4 linked regions of the Arabidopsis thaliana genome follow. The protein of the gene in region 1 interacts with the protein of each later gene in a pairwise test. Each region holds a gene or a part of one and is shown on either strand. Other genes may lie near its edges. The genes, in order: AT4G31250, AT1G65690, PAP3 and UBC32.

Region 1 (5,906 bases):
GATCAAAAAAAAACTAAGGTCCATCCCTTCATGAACACATGAAATGATCAAACATACAGAAATACATATCAAGACCAGTTACAAAACATCAGAAACCCAGAACAAAACTTGAAGGAACATACAACTTTAAAAAACTGAAACAGAGACCAATTATAACAGGGTTTACAGACGATGAACTGTCTCAGATGGCCTGTTGAGAAAAGTAATAAACAAAACTTAACATACCTGATACCAGAGAGATGGTGGTATAACCTTTGATACGAGGAAACTATACCGAAACAAGTTTCAATACAGAGTAGATTGTAACAAAATTTCCACACAGGTTTAATCCTTATTGATGATATGCCTCTCGGTTGATTAAGCTTGTAAATTCCAAGAAAAGGGGATAAATGAAATCACATGGGGACAAGGAAATATAAATAGAAAAAAAAAAGATATAAACTTAAACTTTATTGAAGTCTCTCTCAAAAGAACAAGTAAAAGTAAATCAAAATATCCTCAAAGAATATACCATCTACAAGGTTAGGTTACCCAATATCTAAAGCAACAAGCTTGTGAAAACCATTAATTTTATATTCTTGCTTATCTCAACACTGCATCAGAAAGTGGACAAGTTGAATACGAAATGGACATAAAAGACATTCTTTTGCGTCTAGATGATACCAAAGTATGGCACGAAATTAATATTCACAAAATGGGGAAATAGCTGAAAAGTGAAAAAATCAACAAAAGAACAAAAGCTTGAAGCTTTACTCATCAATCATATCTGTTAAAACTAGGGGGAAAAAAACTGAATGCGAATAAATAACCCTGGCAATAAAAAATAAAAAGTAATTCTCATTACCTACAAACAAAGACACGAACTTGATCAACAAATATCAAGGAAACGAGAATTAGATGAAGAATAAGACTAGTGGAAAGACCAGAGAGAGATACAGGCCTTTCAATGGAAGCTATTACATGAGTGAGAACTCCTCAGTCATAGCTCTTGAAGAACGATGATCACCATCACTAGCAGTCACGTATGAAGATCGAACACTCTCTTGACCTCCACCAGCATCTCTATCAACCTCTTCTATTCGATCAACAGCCTCATGAAGCTCAATTCTCTTCTCAATATCCCAATCACAACATCTCAACCCGATCTTAAGCAGCTTCAACATTTGTGCTTCGTGCTCTTTCCCTGCTTTCATCTCCTTATCAAACACATCAGCAGTCCACTCGGTTCTCGCTACAGACTCAACCCAAGCAGCTAACTCATCATCAGCTCCTTTCCCTTGCCTGAGATAATTCGCCGGAAACTTCCCTGTCAGAATCTCAAGAATCAAGATTCCCAGGCTCCACACATCTGATCTTCTCGAAGTCCTATCCTGCTGAGTGAACTCAGGTGCCTTGTAAGCCACCATGAACTGCTGTGATTGATCTCTGTTAACAACCGGGACAAGAGCGTAGTCCGTAAGTAGAGGCTCGAAGTTAGGATCAAGCAACACATTGGAAGACTTGAGATGGCCATGAGGAAGATTCAAATCAGGGAACACTCTATAGAGATAAGCCAATCCTCTCGTAACTCCTCTTACAATCTTCAATCGAATCGGCCAATCCAAAACCACTTGACCTGGTGTTCGGTTAGCTGCAAAATCAATCCAACAAAACTCATCAGATTCCTCATTTCATTGGATGAAGATAAACAGACACTTAGAGAGTTCCATAATATTACCATGGAGGAGATTAGCGAGGCTTCCATTGGAAATGTAATTGGTAACGAGAAGCTTCTCTTCTTTTCTGTAATAGAATGCAATCAACGGAAGGAGATTAGGGTGAGACAATCGTCCGATCTTCTTCATATGATCGTAAAACTCTTCTCTCCCGATATTACTCATAAACCTAAACCGTTTCACAACCACCGCACGACCACTCGATAAAGCCGCTTTGTACGAAGATCCAAATCCGCCGCTTCCGAGAACCTCCGCCGATGCACGGAGCATATCCTGAAGCGTGAACCTCTCCTGATCATTCCTAACGAAATGTAGCTTCCGTTGATCTCCTCGTTTGTCTTCATCTGGAGAGAGACCTCCCACGGATATAGCTCCTGATGTTGCTGTTGAATCTCGCTGCACAGTTTCATTAGCTAGTTTTCTGTAGACCTTGGAGTCCTGTGAGCTCTTTTCACTGTGTTGTTGTTGCTCGGGTTGTCCGTAGACTTGTCCGTGAAAATGGCCGACGCCGTGGTTTTGGATTTGGTCTTGTCCTTTGCCTTGACGGCGGCTGAGAATGCAAACGGAAAGAAAGACGGTAATGAGCACTACGACGGCGAGGATGGTGAGGGCAAGGAGAAACACGGTGAAGAACGGCGGACGAGTGTATCTGCACGGAAGCAATGGCGCTCCACACAGCCCCTTGTTACCTGTTTTAAGGCCCAAACGAATTATTTAATTAACATCATACATGGCCCATTTATCAATAGGCCCACTAATAATCATTTCAAAGAGAGTATTTTCCACAAATATTTTGTCAAAAGAAGAAATAAAATTTCATATTGTAACTTTTACATGCAAACATTTTTTTTTATTACATGCAAAATTTAATGCCTAATAACGTGCTCACTACTACTCACCAAAGGCTCCAAGACCAATATGTTCAAATTTTCCCATGAATAGTGATAATTACATAAAGTCTAGTCCTTAGGAAAATTTTCACAAATGTTGTGTGTTGCCAGTATATATATATATATATATATATATATATATATATATACATCAGATTATAATATGAAAGATGTTCAGATGATAATTAATCAAAGAAAAATAAACAGATTTGATGATGATGATGATTCATACCTGAGAAGAAAGTGATGTTCATAAGGCCGAGAGTTAACGGAATTCGACCCTCTAACTGATTGTTAGCAACGTTAACGGTGACGAGATTCTTCTGTTTAAACGCCGGTATTTTCCCGGTGAACATATTATCCTCAAGATTCAGCTCAGTAAGCTTCGGCAATTTCCCTAACGACTCCGGAATCTCACCGGAAAACCGGTTTCCTTCAAGATGAACCTTCAGAAGAGCCTTCATCCCGGAGAACAAATCACCGTCTATCTCACCGGTAAACTGGTTATGCGCAAGGTAAAGATGCGCCAACGAAACAAGCCCGTCGATTCCACGAGGGATCTTTCCCTCGAAATGGTTACGCATAAAGCTGATACTCTTGAGACCGCGGATGGACCCGAGCGCTTGAACATCAAGCTCACCGGAGAGGCTCATGTTCTCTAGACGGAGAGCGAAAACGGAGCCGTTTGAACACATCACTCCTTTCCATTTCGAGTCACTTCCTTTATCACCGGAGCAAGGAGGCTCACCAGAGTCCCATCCACCGAGCGAGCTGGCGTTCACGAGAGATGACTTGAACTTCAATAGAGCATCAGCATCACCGTCGCCGTAGATAGGAGAAACGAAGAGCAAGACGATCAATAACAGAGAGTATACGATCGGGAATTTGTCATCACGGGTCATTTCGGTGAAAAATAATCGAAATTTTTGGGATTTGAGAGGAAGAAGAGAGATTTATACGTCGGAAGACGTATTTGTTGGACGGCTTCTCTATGAATTAATCAAATGAGAGGAGACTTGCCGGAAGAAGTATGAAAGGACGGCTGATGGTGAATGACAGCAAAGGTCAAAGCACACAATCGTTTTCGCCAACAACGTGGAACCAAGTACTGTGTAAGCTTGTCCATGGTATGATTACTCATAGATTTTTTATTATATACCTTGATTACGTGTGTTTATATATGTACTAGATTTTTGTAACCAAAATATGATTAAGAAATTCAAATGTATTGCATTCCACATTATTTATCGCGCAAATATTACTAGTTGCTATTTTTTATTTAGTCTAAAATATATACGCAATCCAAAACATAGTGTAGTTTCATGGATTTTCTTATAGATATCCTTATTTTGTTAATTTATGTTGTAATGTTTATATATCTTTCCATAACCAAATGGCCTCTATCAGATTTAGCGATCTTTTAAAGTGCAGAAATGCTTTATTTTGAAGCTTTCTTGTTGTAAACTTGTAAATTGTAATCATCACCAATCAAATACTTTATTTTGTTGTGGAGCAAAGAACGGTGTGTTACTCAATCCTGCAATGTCTGAAATAATATCCCTTTATCAACGACAGCTTTTTGTTCTACAAAACTTTTGGCTCCATATTTCATGTCAAATTAGGAGCTTGGTAAACATAAAACAGTTAATTAAAAAGTGTAAAACTAAAACCACGCTCGTCTTGTATAGGTCGTTATAAATGTGTGTGTTTTGGATGGCGATCCCTTTATTTCGTAATTGATATTCAGACAGAAAATATATTTGGAGTCTGGACGGAAGCGAGAACACCACCGCAAGATCGGATATCTTGAATTGGAATTTCAGACTTAACTTTGTCTGGGTATAAGCTACGAATGATAGAACCGGCTGCTTTGGAGGCAATGAGGAAGCTCTCCAAGGAGTTTCTTCCTCCAGGTACTTTTGACTTCAAGCCCATCATTGCGTGATCCGGATGCTTTGAGGGCTCATCTTATGGATGCCATGAATCAAGCGAGAGCTGTGCCAAAGCCATAATTTATCTTCTTCTTTTTTGCAGTTTGCAACATTCTCTGAACAAATTCTATGTAACCTCTTACTATGTTACTTATGACATTGTTAAATCTTATACACTTTGGGGACACCAAATCCACAAGCTGGTAAGATACTAAAGAACATTGGGATATATTGCATAGCTTGAAAGTATAGAATCAGTACGAATTATTATACAAAGTCGATTTCCAATTGTTAAACACAAAAGACTCCATGGCCCAATGGATAAGGCGCTGGTCTACGAAACCAGAGATTCTGGGTTCGATCCCCAGTGGAGTCGGATTTTTATGCTTTTGCCCTGTTTTGTATGTATACTTGACAGATTACAGACAGCTTTTGAAAGTCTACAAGTCTACAACATTATTACGATTCATGGCTAAGCATTTACAACTGATAGTTTATTCACATTGTAAATCACTCGATTTCTTGTGGAACTTCATGAAGCCTATTAAGGGTACTAACAATTTCACTCAGACAACCGATGAGCTCGTCTCCTTGCTGTCTCACAGACTTCAACTTGTCGTCCATACTAACACCATCCTTTGTTTCATTATCCTTTGCTAGATTTCTCCCGACTATCGCATGTATCAAGTCAATTTTATAACTTAGCTTCGCTTCCATCACTTCTACATCCTCTTCTATGTTCATTGTTTCATCTTCTTCTTCATCTGTGGACATATCTTCCACCGGCTTCTTCTCTCCCATGGTTTTGTTCTGATGGGTTGCTTTTGTAGTTATAGGTTTCTCTCGAGTGTTTACTTGAACTCGGCTAGTCCGTGGCTCTTCTTTCTTTGTCTCCTTCATGACCATTGTTCGCTGTCTTGATCTTTTTGATCCTACAAAAGCTGAATTTAAAACCAGAGTGATTCAAATGGTTAGCATAAGAAGAGTGTCAGTGTGTCAGTGATTCTGGACTGATCCGAGTAACTCCAAATATAGCAGTTCAGAGTTTACCTGAAGATGGTGACTACAAAAAGAGCAATATAATCATAGTGTAGCTCACGGTAGCAAAGTGTTCTACATATATTTCAACTATAACTACACCGACAATTTTCGTCATTCTGTATCTTGAAGAAGTGAATAAGTCTGTCTATGCACTATTTGTTCTTAAGATTCCTTAAAGGCCTAGTTTCATTTAGTAATGGGGCAAGAAAAGGATAGTGTATAGTGTACCTAATTCAGCAGAGAGATCAACAACGTCTTGCGCTTCAGGGTCACTATCAGATTCAGTCCCAGCTTTTTCATCTTGGATCATCACAACCGCATTGATGGCT
Region 2 (4,245 bases), on another chromosome or scaffold:
AGCGCATATATTATATTTTTTGCCATTCTCTAAATCTTTTTTCATCAAAAGAAAAATTATCGACATTATGCTCATTCTCTAGCCAGTGTTACAATACCTTTCAAAGGTAGCCTTCCTCCTGAAACTGGTTGTACAACTACAAAGACTTCGGTTTGGTATATAACTTGAACTAGGAATTTGTTTCTTTGTACTTTTGATTCAGGACCTTACTTCATGAGGATAGTTCTCAAATTGTTACAGAGGACTGTCACAAGTTAAGTACATGAATCTTCTTTGTGTAAGTTCTTTTAGCGTTTCTTTTCTACATGTCTCTCTCTTCTCGCAAAAATTCAGTTTGTTCTATATATCTATGTCTCTTTATTATCTCTTTCATGTTGCTTGGAATGTCTTACCATAAGGTTTATTTATTGAGTTTGGTCTTTGCTTTAGAATACCAGAAGTAATTGTTGGAACAAGTAAATCTAATGCAAATTTGAATTCATAACTAAGATCTTGGAGTTACCTCCAATTTAAGTTGTAAGTAGTTAAAACTGAATTTTGGAGTCTACCTTCAACCAATTGTTTGCTTAAAAGAAGGTAAGGTGGAGTGGTGGACATGCTCTGGTTTTAAAAACTTACAACTACTATACTTTGAATTCCACCTATGTACATAGTATTGTATACTTTAATATATTAATTTAAACCAACAGTTTATTATACAACAAAGGTCTGAGACACAATAATGTACTTTAGAGGAGAACTATATATGAGTATGTGACTATATCTGACAAAATTCCCTCTGTATATCTCGATATTAATTATATAAAAAAAAACGGATCTATAACCTAAGACGAAATTTGCAACTACTACTTTGAATCTTAATAACATTATTGGTAGCCAAGCTATCAACAAATACACCACATCTGACCAAGAATCTTACTTCGAAGAGCTTCAACTTCCCAAATTTGACCCGAACCGGTTGGTTTACTCTAATTCTCAATGGTATATTCCCGGTTCTTTGTTGTTGCTCTTCTAATGTCGTCCTTAAACCCGATGCATTTTGTGTTTGACCAGTCATTTCTACGTATATCACTGTCGTATTTTCATGTCCTTGGTAAAATTTTGGCAACGACCCTATTCAAAAAAATCACAAAAGTTCAATGAAGTTAAATCTATAAGAAGACCCGGTTTGAAATGGTGTAAACGAATTATAATCAAACAAGAAAACCAAACAACATAAATAAATATGTTTAGTTTTGGGGTTTTCAGTCCGGATAAACCGGTATGATCCAACTCTACCAAAAACGATTGATTTGAATGAATTAACTCTATTATATCCGAACTATTGAATATGAACCGAACAAAAACTATCTAAACCAAATTTTGTTTGAAACTAAAGATATACAGTATTTGACAATCCTAATCCAAAATGAAAGTAAACCCAAAGCCAACCAAAAAAATTTAGACATCCCTAATTTGAAAAGAGTTTTAAAGTCTTCCTTGTGTACGAACCAAACCAAAGGAAAAGAACAGAAATCAACCAAATAAACCGGTTTTGTAGTGAGATTTTGAAGCCTTCCTACGTTAAAAAACCAAAAGAAAGCAAACCGGAGTAAACCAAAAGTGACGTACCATTGCTTAGTTGATGTTCCATGTACCACACGGTAATCTTGCTCCCATCTTCATAATAAATTCCAATCTTCTCGTTCGGATTCTTAGCGGTTATAGTCACGTTAAAAGCCGTAGTCAAACTCGAGTCTTGGTTCAGTGCAAACCGGGTGAGCTGTAACCGGTCAATAGAGTAATCCGGTAGCTTCGGTTTAAAGACAAGGTATAGTATACCAATGGATGCGCCTACTGCAACGACAAGAAGCAAAAGAAAGCAGAACGTGTAGCAAAAGCATCTGCAACAACAACTTCTTCTCTTCTTTGGAGGAGCCAACGGCACGAACCGTTGTGGCCTTTGGTTCAAAGGGACTTTGGATGGGTCTCCATGTTCTGATCTAGAGGAACCACGAGGAACCAAAGGAGCTGTTGGACGCGCTGTTGCGGCTTCTGGATCTTGGACCGGATAGATTTTTTGGTGTTGAGACATTTTTGGAAAATCTTGATGACACCAAGAAGAAGAAGAAGCTTTGTTTGTAGATCTTATTTAGGGGTTTGGGAAATTAATATAAGTAGGGACCTTATGGAGTTTTTAAAGTCAAGAGGGAAGAACTTTTCAATGGAGAGACTTCTCTATATGAACCTATAGATTATGAAAAACAAGTACATTCGCTTCCATACAACACATCACACGTGTAATGTGAATTTGCGTGTCTGCTTAGGTAGCGGTCTTTTATGGAAATTGAGTTTGATGTGAACCCATCAAATAAAAAAAATAAAAATCATTAGTAGGTATCAAATTACTTGCAATATAGATGGAAAAATTAGGATGACTTTTTGGAAAATACATATATTGTAGTCCTATACATTATCAAACAACTAAAAGTTATATCCACTTAAGATATTTTCCAATTACTATTTGTTTCTTTTTATTTCCTATAATTTTTTCTATTTACTCTTTTGCTCTTTCATGTTTACTCTTCTTGATTTATTTATATTTCATATATAAATGGTACTTAATCTACAAAATAAAATTTCATATATTTACGCCTCGCATTGTCTTTGAGAAAATACAAGTTTTTAATATTTAGATCGCATATAGTTTGACTAATAGGTACATTATAAAGTCAAAATACATTTGATGAAGATCTACTTTACTTTTGTTGACCTAATCCCCTAAGACTTATGCAGCAGTGTTCTCATGCATTTCGTCATGAATTTTTTTTCTTTTACTTTTTTGTTAACATGCTTTATTTTATTATTTTTTTTGCAAATAAAATTCCATTCGAAATCCCTAGGCCCCAACGATGTTAATTTATTTGTAGTGTTTCTGTTTAATATTAATCGTTATCAACGAAAAATTTTTAGAACGCAATTCTTTTGTTCTTCATATTAATAACCAAAAATCAAAAGCTTCTGATAACACTTACTATGAAAAATTTCAAGAAATAAATCACTTAATATGAAGAATATTACATTGGAATCGTAAAAGAAGACCCAAGACTCCGATGAAATCAGAAGTGTTTGGTTTTGGCGAGTTATTACCAAAACCAACGACTTGTATGATGCGACTATGGGAGAATGACATATTAAGTTAATATCTATATTGTTGTCTTATAGAAAATGTATGATGCTTCTAAGTTTTAAATACGGCCATTTGTTGATGTTGATAGATTTGATGATGTATATAATCCTTCTAGATGAAATTGCAACGACATTATAATTTGTAAGATACCAGAAACTAATTCCTCTTTTTTTTTTCTTTTGCAATTTGAATATCTATAAAATTTTGGTTAACAATAAAAGTTTTTTTTCTAATCAAAGAATTTGTGGTCTAGTAGCAAACCTAGGTCCGTCCAAAAGATTGTATGATTTAAGTTTCCGACCAAAACGTTTAAGACATAAAATATCATATAGCTTTTGTCCTTAGGATACACAAATAAGACAACTCCAGACATCAAAACAAACTATCCAAATTGTTTACAATCAAATCTTCTCTTTGTTTTTAGGCTTTGAATGAGAGAATTAGATTTTCTCACCATAACTATATTCAATCAATGCACTACGGGTTTCAACGGATGGGCTCTCAGCTTCGAAAAATCCAGACTAGCATCAAGCTCCTCGTCCAGCTCCCCGATAACACCTCTGATCAAAGATGACACCATTTTTTTTATTGAAACAAAAAAACAATTGCAATGTTAGAAAATCACTGATGATGATGGATGATAAGAATTACATGTTGTCCCCTCTGATGATGTACAAACCCAACACATGTTGTTGTACTCCTTCCTGCAAAGATGAAGACATAGTAAGAGGTCTCAATCCTAATTCCAATATCCATCATTTTAACAGAACTCTGCCTTCACACCAAAAATATCCAAGAACATTTGTCTAATGAAGTATCAACATGACCTGACATACTCTTAGTGTAAACAAGAAAACAGACATGAATCAAACCTTTAACCCTCTTACGAAAAAAAGGAGGTGATCATGTATAATTAATTACACACTGCCAATATCTACGTATTTGACTTACCTATCACTAGCTAAATCTTTTGACATATGAACTCACAAGATTTTTTCAATCAGTTATAACACTCGAAGAATACTAACACTAAATCTGTTTCGGTGTATCCAACACTATCTGATTTAGATACTTCC
Region 3 (5,068 bases), on another chromosome or scaffold:
AGTAAAATAAGATAAGCCTTAATAGAATGACTATTATATTTCTTTTGGGAGATAATTTTGGTATGAGCAAAAGTGTTCTTGCGATCAAATATGAGAGATCCGGGGCTTGTGAAATTATGTGACAGAATCTCATCCACAACATAGAGTTGTATATCATTTATCTTATCATATAATCCATAATTCACTATAACTTATCTATATATATTACATGATTGAAGAGAATCTGAGCACAGGACAAAAGACATGTAACAAAATCATTATCTATCTTTATAGATGAGAATCGGACCCATTTTGTGTCCCTACAAACTACACAAGAGTACTGTATGCACGCATGCTTCGGGAAAACTTGTTAATCAAATTGGATAAGAATAACGAAAATTAATTAACTTAATTAATATGGAAGCGTAAGAGAGGATGATATTTACATTTTAATATGCTTAGATTCGATATGTATATACAGTATATGCATGCAGTATTTCTAGTTAATCTCACATCTTACAAATTTTCAATAATATCTTGTTTGAAACTGTACTTTTACGCAATAAAGATTTCATTGACTTTTTTTTCTGATGCTGCTGATATGTTCTTGTCATATCATAATGTGATTCGAAAATTCGACGAAGTACGATATTGATAATTTCATAGTACATCGATCATAAACAATTACGTCCGATTAAATTGGAATCAAGAAGCGAAATAAAGCGCCTCCTTGTAAGTCTTCTTCCAATGATGCAGAACGTGTCCAAAAACATCATAAAAGACTACACGCAGTTCAGCTTCTGAAACGTGAACCGACATGAAACCTTGTCCGTCGTAGTAAAACCTCATCTCTTCTGGTTCAACGTAGTTCACGTCACCTCCTTTCCAGGCCTTGGATCCACCTCCACTTGTCATAAATTGTATGTTACTATATGCAACCAAAAATGGTGACATTTTATATCCTCCCGTACGTGGACCCTTACGTTACAATAATTGATTAATAAGAAAATAATTAACGAACAAATAAATAAATTTATTCTACCTGTCCACGCTGCTTATGTGCTCTAAGCAATGATCATGTCCGTTTACGTAGAGATCCACTTCATTTGCCTAGTAAATCGAGAACAAAAAAAACAGATTTAATTAGATAGATTTTTTCTATTGGTGCATAAACTTTATTATATGAATGGAATGGTTTTGTTACTTGGAGAATAGGTAAAAGGTGTTTCTCCAACTCAATGGTGTTCCCGTGGTGGCCTGCGCTTTTGATCGTATGGTGACCAATCACTATTTTCCACTTTGCGACTGACTCTCTCAACGCCACGTCGAGTTCCTATATTATTACATTATAGCTTTCGTTAGTCACTCGCTCGTAAAAAGAAAAAAAGTTGCATTGGCAGATTGTTCTCTAATCATATCGCATTACATACCTAATTAAAACGCGATTCCATTTGAAAATAGACAAAATAAAAGCTGCGTTTAACATCCAATCATAACTTTATAAAAAAATCCAATCATAACAAAAGAAAAAGGAATGTTTTGCCCAAAACACGTATATAATGACGTTCCTAAGTTAATATTAATTCTATTTCGACGAAAAAAGAAAGAAAGGAAGATTTACTTAAAAAATTGTTACCTTTAAGAGATTATTCAGATATGTTTGCCTAGGTAATACACCGCTCCAGTCATAAACATGCTTATTTGGTTGAATAAAGTATTTATCGACGAACGGAGTTGTGTCGACGAAGAACAAATCGACGATCTCTGTTCAGTTAACGAAATTAACAAAAATAAAAAAATAATTGGAGGATTAATAAAATATTTCTAACTTTTGAAGAAATATTATATAGGAGGAATTACCAGCATTTACAATGAAAGATCTCATGCAAACCCATCTGTTGTCCAGAGCTCTGAGCATAGGGCTAAGTTGTGCCCTGACGTCACCTCTATAATCATGATTTCCTAAAACTTTAGGTTAAAGAAAATGTAATTAACACATTGAACCACATATCGTTTAATAATTAAGATCCAACGACGAATGTACACATTGAACCACACATTTACCACTATACCAAGGTTTCTGCAAGCTCGGAGCGGTATAAATGTTGGTAAAAGAATCTTGAAATAGAGGATCGTGCAAGCTGGTTAAACCATTGTCGTAAAAATTATCTCCAGTAGAAATCACAAAATCGATATCTAATTTCTCTCCGATTTCTCCCATCTGTTTAAATTTCGTGTGAAATAATTTAGCATAAAATAACTAAAAACAACAGTATAAAAGAAAACATCAAACTAGCATAAAATTTACCACATTGAGTTCATCTGCAAAACAACAGTACAAACAAAAATCATATGTAGAATATCTTCGTACACTAAAGCTGTTTTCTTAACACAGACCGAATCTTTCAAGTTCCTCTAACATGACTTTCTTTCTTTTTATGGTATCTTATAACATGGTGTTCAAGAATTAGTAATATATATTGAAATTGAATAATAATAATAAAAAAAAGAAAAAAAAAGAATAATATAAAAACATAAGGGCCGGCATTAATATGAAGACCAGTAAATTTGATCCTCATATCACGTATGCTCTTGAAGGCATACGCATATATATGTTTACGTAATACGTATTAATTATACACTATTGAATTTGCATTATATATTTATATATATGCGTACAGGCGAGAAATATAGTAAATAACTTGTAAATGAAAATAAGAAGTAACCTGAAGAGCTACTTGGGACTGATTATAGGAGCCTCTTCTTCCCCAGTCTCCGATAACGAGAAAGCTCACTGTACCATCGGTTTTTGATGGCTGCAGTAGCCTGCGGAGCTCCGCCGTGGAACTATGGGAGGAGAATATAATAATCAAATTATAAACGTAAAATACCAAATTTACAGGTTTGTGTTTTAAGGTAGCCATTGAGAGATTAGAAAAGCAAAAGAGGAAGAAGATAAGGAAAGGAATGGTTGATTTTGTTGTGATCTTTGTGTCTCTATATATGTAGGTCATTTCGAGGTTGATAAATATGAATAAAAATTATTTGCCATTTTGAGAAATGTAGTCCATTTTTGTTTTCTATTTCAATCTTTTGATTTGTCAATTTTATTACAATAATTTGAATCGGTAATTTTTTTGTCACCCACTTTTTCAGATATTTATCAATAACGAAATATAATGACAAGATAAATTTAAATAAAATAAATAGCGGTTGAAAATTAGCTGTTGAAATATTTTAAACATAAAGAAATTGGATATTGACAGTTTAAGGATATTTGAAAATTTCTATTATCAGTGAAAATATACGTAAATTTCTACTACATTTTTATTTCTAACATTATACATAAACATATTATCTAAATTTGGATTATGACACATCAAACAACAGTATGCATACAAACTATTATTACACCGTGAATTCTGATCACACAAATTCTTTCTAAAATCGCATTTTAAAAACAAAATATACTTGAAAAAAATAGAAATAAAATTTACGAAGCTCGGGTATGTGCGTTGTCATACAAGAAGAGTAGAAGACAGCATAAACGCCCATGCCACAAATTTGTCGGAAATTGCAATTATTAGCTTTGAGTCACATTATTGATGTGAGTCTAACGAAAACTTCCAAATTCTCTCAATTATTGTTGACCGTTAGTTATTTTACAGTATAGTTCTGAACATAAAATAATGTGAATAGTTTACTAAATTCGTTCAACATATTAAAGAAAAATCAAAATCCCATTTATACAAAAATTTGAAAGTATATCCTTACTGGATATGAGAAAATAAATGCAAATGGGTTGGCCTATGTTATTGGGCCGATACCCATTTCTCTAATGAAAAGAAAGATCTATAAAAACAAACTTCTGCTTCTCGACTAGGACATTAATTCTGAGGTATGACTATGAAGGTATCATATTATTTTGTAATTCTTGGCCAAAACTTGTCACCTGTGTGTTTGTATGTTCTTACAAAAGAGAAAACTAATGAGCATTAACTTCTGCAACGTTTATTTTACATGTTTGGTCTTATTGCTGATTCAGTCTAGTTCGTCGAGTATTTTGAAAACAACTTGAGGAGTTAATCAAAAGAAACAAGCTTAATGTGGTATATATGTTCCTTACGACTATAGTTCCTATTAGTATGATGTAGTCAGCAAGATTGACTTATGATGACTATAGAAACTTCACTGAATATCTCTGGTGGTCCTAGACAGTCACAGTGTCCTACTGTATCTTTAGTTTGGTTCGCCAAGTCTAGTATCGGACCGTATAGATAGAGAGATGTCAATTGTGTTTATGTGTTTTTTTTTTCTCTCTGAAGCAAATTGATTGATCGATTTGTCAGCAATTCCTTTCGAGTCAAAAGTTTTGACCAACCAGCTTCTTCGTGAAACTCTCTAGCTGTATTCACACATACACACACACACCTAACAAAATTATTGAAACAGTGGGTTTGATGTAAAGCCTAAATCATTCAACCACCTCTCTCTATTTCTTTTTTGTTCTTTTTTTCTATGCAACATATGATTATATATTAGATCCATGTGATATTGCTTGAGTCTTTAATTTAAGGCTTTATAAATAGAACAAATATAGGCCTTTTTAGGTCAACACGTGTGTGTGGAAATGATGCTAATGCTTCCAAAATGAAACAGAATAATGTCGTCATGAGCTACTCATTTACAAGAGGATTGTTTTAGTGTTGGATTGGCTAATAGACTTGGATCGATATCTATAATATAGACCATATATATAATATGTTTAGCCTAAACAATGATATATATGTCATGTGACACTTATGTGTTTTAGCAATCACTAAAATAATGCAAACATTAATACATGTAGGTGAGTTGTGAGTTCAAATAATATTAGTCAATACTCAATAGTCACTGTAATTGATATTTTGAATGGCTTATCCTATGAAAATTTAGTACTTTCATAGAGAGAAAAAAAAAACAAATGTTAATCTAAAGACGACAATTTAGATTTTAGCAGTCGCACCAGAACTAGTACCAGGAAACATAAGATAATATATACAGGACTAGCTACTTCATTATCTTTACGTAGTTTATGACAAAGATTGTT
Region 4 (5,445 bases), on another chromosome or scaffold:
ATAATAGTGGAAAAAGCAGTCACGTTCCCATAAATCAAAGTGTTTTTTTATTTTATAGTAATAGGCAGATGAAACAATTGCTGTTAAAAATCTGACTTCAAAGACACGCAAAAGCAGTGTTTGCTAGTTTTAGTACCTGAGGATCCCTGAGCAATAAGGACTGATAGACTTTTAACTTAGCTTCTTTTGCCACCATCCCTTCTTTTTTAAAAAAATATTATTTTCATTACGATCAACTTCATTTATTAATTTGAACCTTCGGTAACTTTTTCTCTTTTTAACGTTATATGGCAGTCAAAGGTCAAAGTTGATAACCTTTTCTAAACTGAAAAGTAAAAAAATAAGGTACAAGATGAGATCACACCAAACTAATGTGTGCAGAAGATACCCCAAAACTAATATGTTTCTGTAATTTATAATGAAAATACACACAAATATATAAACCACACGACTCACTACATGTGTGTTCATATACATACATATATGATCAAATTGTTAAACTTGACCATGAAATCTATTGATTTAAAAATTTGGATACATTTTAGACATCATGTACTCAAAACGGGAAATAGTTATGAACATAGTGGAGGTAATCAACAATTCTATTAACAAAGCATCAATGTATTGATAAAACGGTCGTCAGTGTTCAATTCCAAAATACATATTGTTAACTTGGTCACAAGCTATAATCCAATCTATCAACTAAGTTGCAAGACAATGTCACACAGAAATTATTTACGCCATTATGCACTTTAATTATATTTATAAAATATTAAACAACACAACCCCATTTCTTAAACGCAGCATTGACTTTCATCAGAGTTCAAGACTGATCATCCATAAACCCAGTACTGTAACCATTTGATTTTATGAACTTCTTCAGAAGAAGAACCATGATAGCGATTGTGAGCCCAACCGCCGCCCACGTGAAGAGTCTGTCATCGACTGGCTTCTGAGCCGCTCTTCTGGCCATCCTTTGCTCACCACTTACAGAAGCTTTGACCACAACTTCAACCGCTGGTAAAGGTGCTGCAGCGGGAACCACACTAGCTGCTGTATTGACTGCTTCAGCTGTCTCTTCTATGATTTGATCATCAACTATGGTGTCTGTTGTAGCGATGGACCGCTCTTCTACTACAGTTATCGCTTCCTGTGGCTCAACTTGGGAGTGAGCTTCTGATACGATGGAAGGTGCTTGGCTACATTCCAGAGGAAGAGGTTTTGGAACCACGGTTGCTTTGCTAAGGATGTACTGATGAATCTGCGCTTGTTAAAAGGTCATGGTTACTAAAAGTTTTTTCCAAAATTGAAGATGAATCAGAGGTATGAAACTAAAGTCATAACAAAAATCATGAAGAAAGGGACGAGAGTTTAGACCAAAAGGAGATTGTTAACACTACTATTGTCTTTTTTTTTATATTTGTGCAACTGACTACTTTTTAAAAACGACAATAATCAGTAAAATGGTGTGTTAGGACTTGAGCAGCAAATTTTACTGTATGGAGAGAATAATAACAGCTGTGATTGCAGTTAAAACAAAGCAGATACTCTTAGAGCAAACATTAAATCATAACCGCTAGAGATATGCAAGCCTAATATATAATATATTGCGATCCCGTTTTGACCACCAGCTAGTCCTATGGTTTATAATGATGCAATGCAATGGTATGGCACATACTCTACAGGTTCAGCAAGCATCTAGCTAAATTCATATATTTTCATCAGGATATTATGCATAGTGGTTCAACACCCAAGGGTATTCTAGTGGGGAACTATACCTCATCAATAATTTTTTGCCGTTCAGGAGAGCCATACTTAGGTGGTGTCTCACGTGATTTAATGGCTAGTGTACGTCTCTCATCCTTTGGATAATCTACTGAGCCCAGTGCTCCATTGGGACTTGTGGGCATAAATGCAATGAGAGCCACCAAAGCAGTCCGAACTGAAAAGAAACAAAGCTCAATCATAATACAAAAGAGCTGATATAGTTCAACCTCATGTAAATTACAAGTGTCTGAGTAATCTTTTAGGAAACAACATAAAAGTCAAGAGATAAGGTCTCTTGAGATCCATGACTTTACCACTCCATGAAGGTTGCCAATGCTCAGGGTGGTAGTTTGAAATGCTCAAGCAAATCTTGGTGTTAGTTTCAAAGCGCCCGTTAGGCTGAAACAAAAGTACAGAGATTCTTTAGATACATACTCTCTTATGGAACTTGCAACATCTGTGTGTTTTTATATATGAAATAAGAGTAAGATCCTTACGGTCAATAACATGAATGAAGGAGGTTTGAATGGATAATCTGCAGGCAACTGAATTCTCCCATGATAAATCCCGCCCTCGAATTCAGTATCACCAGGACCTCGGATGGCGAATTGCCACTCAAAGATATTCTCCTGAAGTTAAAAGATAGATAAGAGTAATCATGTAAACTATTTGGTATCACACAAGAACTTGTAAAAAACAGCTATAACATCGCGCGCAATCTATTTGGACCATGACATGTTGGAAAAAGTCTTCACAGTTAAAAAAATTAGAAACGAAGAACTAGTATGACAGCTGAGTGGATCAAGGAATCGTTCGTAATCTTCCCCACTTGACTCAGTTATTCCAATAAAAACACAAAAATCCAAACTTTATCTGTTGCACGAGTGTTGAAAGTAGAGAGACTTAGTAAATTCAGTGTATACAAGAAGATATATCGATCCTCCCTAATCATGATCGCCTAAAATCAAACACCATCACTCAGAACAGATACACAATTACAACACAACACAACATAACACAACAACATAAGACAAGGGGATTTTCTCAAAAAAGGAAATTTCAAATATAGATTCGAATCAAAATTCCCGATCTAAAAAGCTAGAATCGGAGATGTTACCTCAAGAGGAAGAGACATAAAATCATCAGACGGATTAGCTTGCATCTCCTTAACCTCCTGCAAAATCCTCTTCACCGCCGGATTCTTCCGATTATACCTCTCATCCGCCATCTTATTTATCCCCACGAGATCTTGCCGGAAGTGCAATCCGCCGCCGGAGTTCTCTCTGTCCGATTCGTCTTAACAGAAAATAATAAATACACAAAATTAGAATTACCACATGGCTTCGGGAGATGAGCTAATTAGTACGGTGATATAATACAAACACACAAAATTAATTCCAAAACATTTTCCACGTCACACTCTTTAACGACGGATACGTGACGTGAGAGAGCTTCTGAGTAAGTGCCACGTAATTAATAAACTTTAGTCATCCAAACATCTCAACGGTTCAGAAACTGTCACGTAATCTGAGAAATTTAAGCGCCTCTTTACAGCCGTCGATTTGGGAGAATCATTAAGCTATCGTGGCGAGACTTTAATAGGCCTTGGCCCATTAATTTAAAGCCCAATGAAACGTGCACGTCACAGACAACAGAAAATCAAAGCGTTGACAGTGAATCGGTGAAGAAGAAGAGTCTTGAGTCTTGAGTCTTGAGAGAAAGGAAGAAGAAGCAATTTCAATGGAGAAGAGAGGGGTGATCGACACATGGATTGATAAGCACCGTTCGATCTATACGGCGGCTACACGTCATGCTTTTGTCGTCTCGATCCGTGACGGATCCGTTGATCTCTCGTCCTTCAGAACTTGGCTGGTACTGTAATTAGTAATTACTGATGAAAACAAGGCAAAATATGAAATCTCACTCGATGACTTTTAAACGACGTTGTTTCCTTGTAGGGGCAAGATTATCTGTTCGTGAGGAGGTTTGTGCCGTTTGTAGCGAGTGTGTTGATCAGAGCTTGCAAAGATTCCGGCGAGAGTTCCGATATGGAAGTGGTGCTTGGTGGTATAGCATCGTTGAATGATGAAATAGAATGGTTTAAAAGAGAAGGATCGAAATGGGATGTTGATTTCTCGACCGTTGTGCCTCAAAGAGCTAATCAAGAATATGGCAGGTTATTGATTTCATATATGCTGATTGAATAGATTTCTCACACTCGAAAATGAAATTAGGAACCAGCAAATAAACCGGAGTTTCTGGTTAATTCAGGTTTTTGGAAGATCTGATGAGCAGTGAGGTGAAGTATCCGGTGATTATGACAGCTTTCTGGGCAATTGAAGCAGTGTATCAAGAGAGCTTTGCTCATTGTTTAGAAGACGGGAACAAAACTCCGGTGGAGCTTACCGGTGCTTGTCATCGTTGGGGGAATGACGGGTTTAAACAGTATTGTTCGTCTGTCAAGAACATTGCCGAACGTTGTCTGGAGAATGCCTCCGGTGAGGTGCTCGGTGAAGCTGAAGATGTACTTGTACGAGTTCTTGAACTAGAGGTTGCCTTCTGGGAGATGAGCCGTGGAGGACAGTAGCTAATGTTTGGGTTTGAATTTCTCATTTCCTCTAAATGCCAAAGAGAAACAAGTTCCAATCTTTATGTTTGGTGAAACACAAGTTGAGATTATGGTTTCATAACAGATTACATGAATACGGATTTGTCTCTGACTGGGGCAGAAGGTTGTTCCCGTCATTCCACATATTACACTTACTGGTAACTACATCAACTCCTAAAACTCTTAAGAACTCACCAATTGAAACCGAAAAGCTCTTTATTCTCTCCAGCGATGACCACAATTCGGGTTGCAACAGACAAAGAACAGTGTCATTCCTTCTTCACCTCTAGCCGTAGCCTGCACATTCAATGATAGCTACATTAAATCCTCAAGCGGTGTACAGAATTTGAGCATAATGTTTTGGGGAAGCAAACAGTGAAGATACAGCATAACCAAGTAGTTAAATAAATAATGGAGCTTAAGAGAGTTATACCTGGAAGAAAACGGCCTCCCTATGCTGACACTTAGAGCAACGCACAGCCTTGGTTCGGGGAAGAGTAGGGTCAGAAGCCACGTCTGTTAAGATCTGAGTTCGCTCACTTACAGAGTGATGAACCTCGTTTCTGTACACACAGCTGTTATCAGCTACCTCCTGCAAGTCAGTGCCACAAAAAGTATAAATTCTGAGATGAGGACAACAAACCCATTTACATGATCTAATCTAATCTGTCAATTTGTAACAACAAGATTGATAATGCAGCTTAAAAAATTGCAAATAACTACTCAGTTTGTGTAAATCAATAAGCTAAAAGAGGCCCTTCAAGTATTCATATAGATCTCATAAACACAACACTAGAAAGATAAACCATAAGAACTTGCTAAGCCTTAATTGAAGGAGTTAGTAAATAGAGAGGTTGGTAAAACTAAGGAAACTAGGAGCATTAAAAGAGAGATAAAAGCAGGAAACAGTTTCATTAAAGTCTCTTAATTGCAATGAAACTAAGTCCCACTCGCAATTTTGTGCACTACATTGAACACTAAAAACCCTTTTTCCACACAAAAAAAAGGTACAAAATGACCAAAAGCTATACCTGGTGATCACAATTACGGCAAGCATAGAGGAGGATCTT

Evidence for each region.
Region 2: the proteins of AT4G31250 (region 1) and AT1G65690 interact in a protein complementation assay, tested with the Arabidopsis thaliana proteins (one large-scale study listed by BioGRID).
Region 3: the proteins of AT4G31250 (region 1) and PAP3 interact in a protein complementation assay, tested with the Arabidopsis thaliana proteins (one large-scale study listed by BioGRID).
Region 4: the proteins of AT4G31250 (region 1) and UBC32 interact in a protein complementation assay, tested with the Arabidopsis thaliana proteins (one large-scale study listed by BioGRID).

What each region holds. Positions count from the first base shown.
Region 1 is NC_003075.7:15,178,245-15,184,150, forward strand, and holds AT4G31250 (Leucine-rich repeat protein kinase family protein), read right to left. Parts: upstream 3,694-5,906; 5' UTR 3,508-3,693; coding exon 2,838-3,507; intron 2,560-2,837; exon of another isoform or gene 2,405-2,559; coding exon 1,718-2,404; exon of another isoform or gene 1,631-1,717; coding exon 957-1,630; 3' UTR 681-956; downstream 1-680. Other genes in the region: AT4G31260 (uncharacterized protein), read right to left, coding at 4,349-4,543; AT4G31270 (sequence-specific DNA binding transcription factor), read right to left, coding at 5,047-5,477, 5,806-5,906.
Region 2 is NC_003070.9:24,430,825-24,435,069, forward strand, and holds AT1G65690 (Late embryogenesis abundant (LEA) hydroxyproline-rich glycoprotein family), read right to left. Parts: upstream 2,342-4,245; 5' UTR 2,075-2,341; coding exon 1,612-2,074; intron 1,114-1,611; coding exon 818-1,113; 3' UTR 593-817; downstream 1-592. Other genes in the region: LSM8 (Small nuclear ribonucleoprotein family protein), read right to left, coding at 3,639-3,729, 3,821-3,873, 3,953-4,004. UniProt on the Arabidopsis thaliana protein: Plays an important role in the abiotic stresses-induced abscisic acid (ABA) signaling and biosynthesis. Acts as a positive regulator of ABA-mediated seed germination inhibition. Functions downstream of ABF2/AREB1, ABF4/AREB2 and ABF3.
Region 3 is NC_003070.9:5,056,605-5,061,672, reverse strand, and holds PAP3 (purple acid phosphatase 3), read right to left. Parts: upstream 3,091-5,068; 5' UTR 2,994-3,090; coding exon 2,706-2,993; exon of another isoform or gene 2,288-2,705; intron 2,201-2,287; coding exon 2,044-2,200; intron 1,948-2,043; coding exon 1,840-1,947; intron 1,744-1,839; coding exon 1,616-1,743; intron 1,313-1,615; coding exon 1,184-1,312; intron 1,090-1,183; coding exon 1,022-1,089; coding exon of another isoform or gene 1,018-1,021; exon of another isoform or gene 908-1,017; coding exon 685-907; 3' UTR 533-684; downstream 1-532.
Region 4 is NC_003074.8:5,794,846-5,800,290, reverse strand, and holds UBC32 (ubiquitin-conjugating enzyme 32), read right to left. Parts: upstream 3,362-5,445; 5' UTR 2,996-3,361; coding exon 2,885-2,995; intron 2,397-2,884; coding exon 2,265-2,396; intron 2,167-2,264; coding exon 2,082-2,166; intron 1,943-2,081; coding exon 1,779-1,942; intron 1,262-1,778; coding exon 824-1,261; 3' UTR 544-823; downstream 1-543. Other genes in the region: AT3G16990 (heme oxygenase-like, multi-helical), read left to right, coding at 3,508-3,639, 3,726-3,943, 4,039-4,354; NRPB9A (RNA polymerases M/15 Kd subunit), read right to left, coding at 4,592-4,672, 4,809-4,967, 5,407-5,445. UniProt on the Arabidopsis thaliana protein: Accepts the ubiquitin from the E1 complex and catalyzes its covalent attachment to other proteins.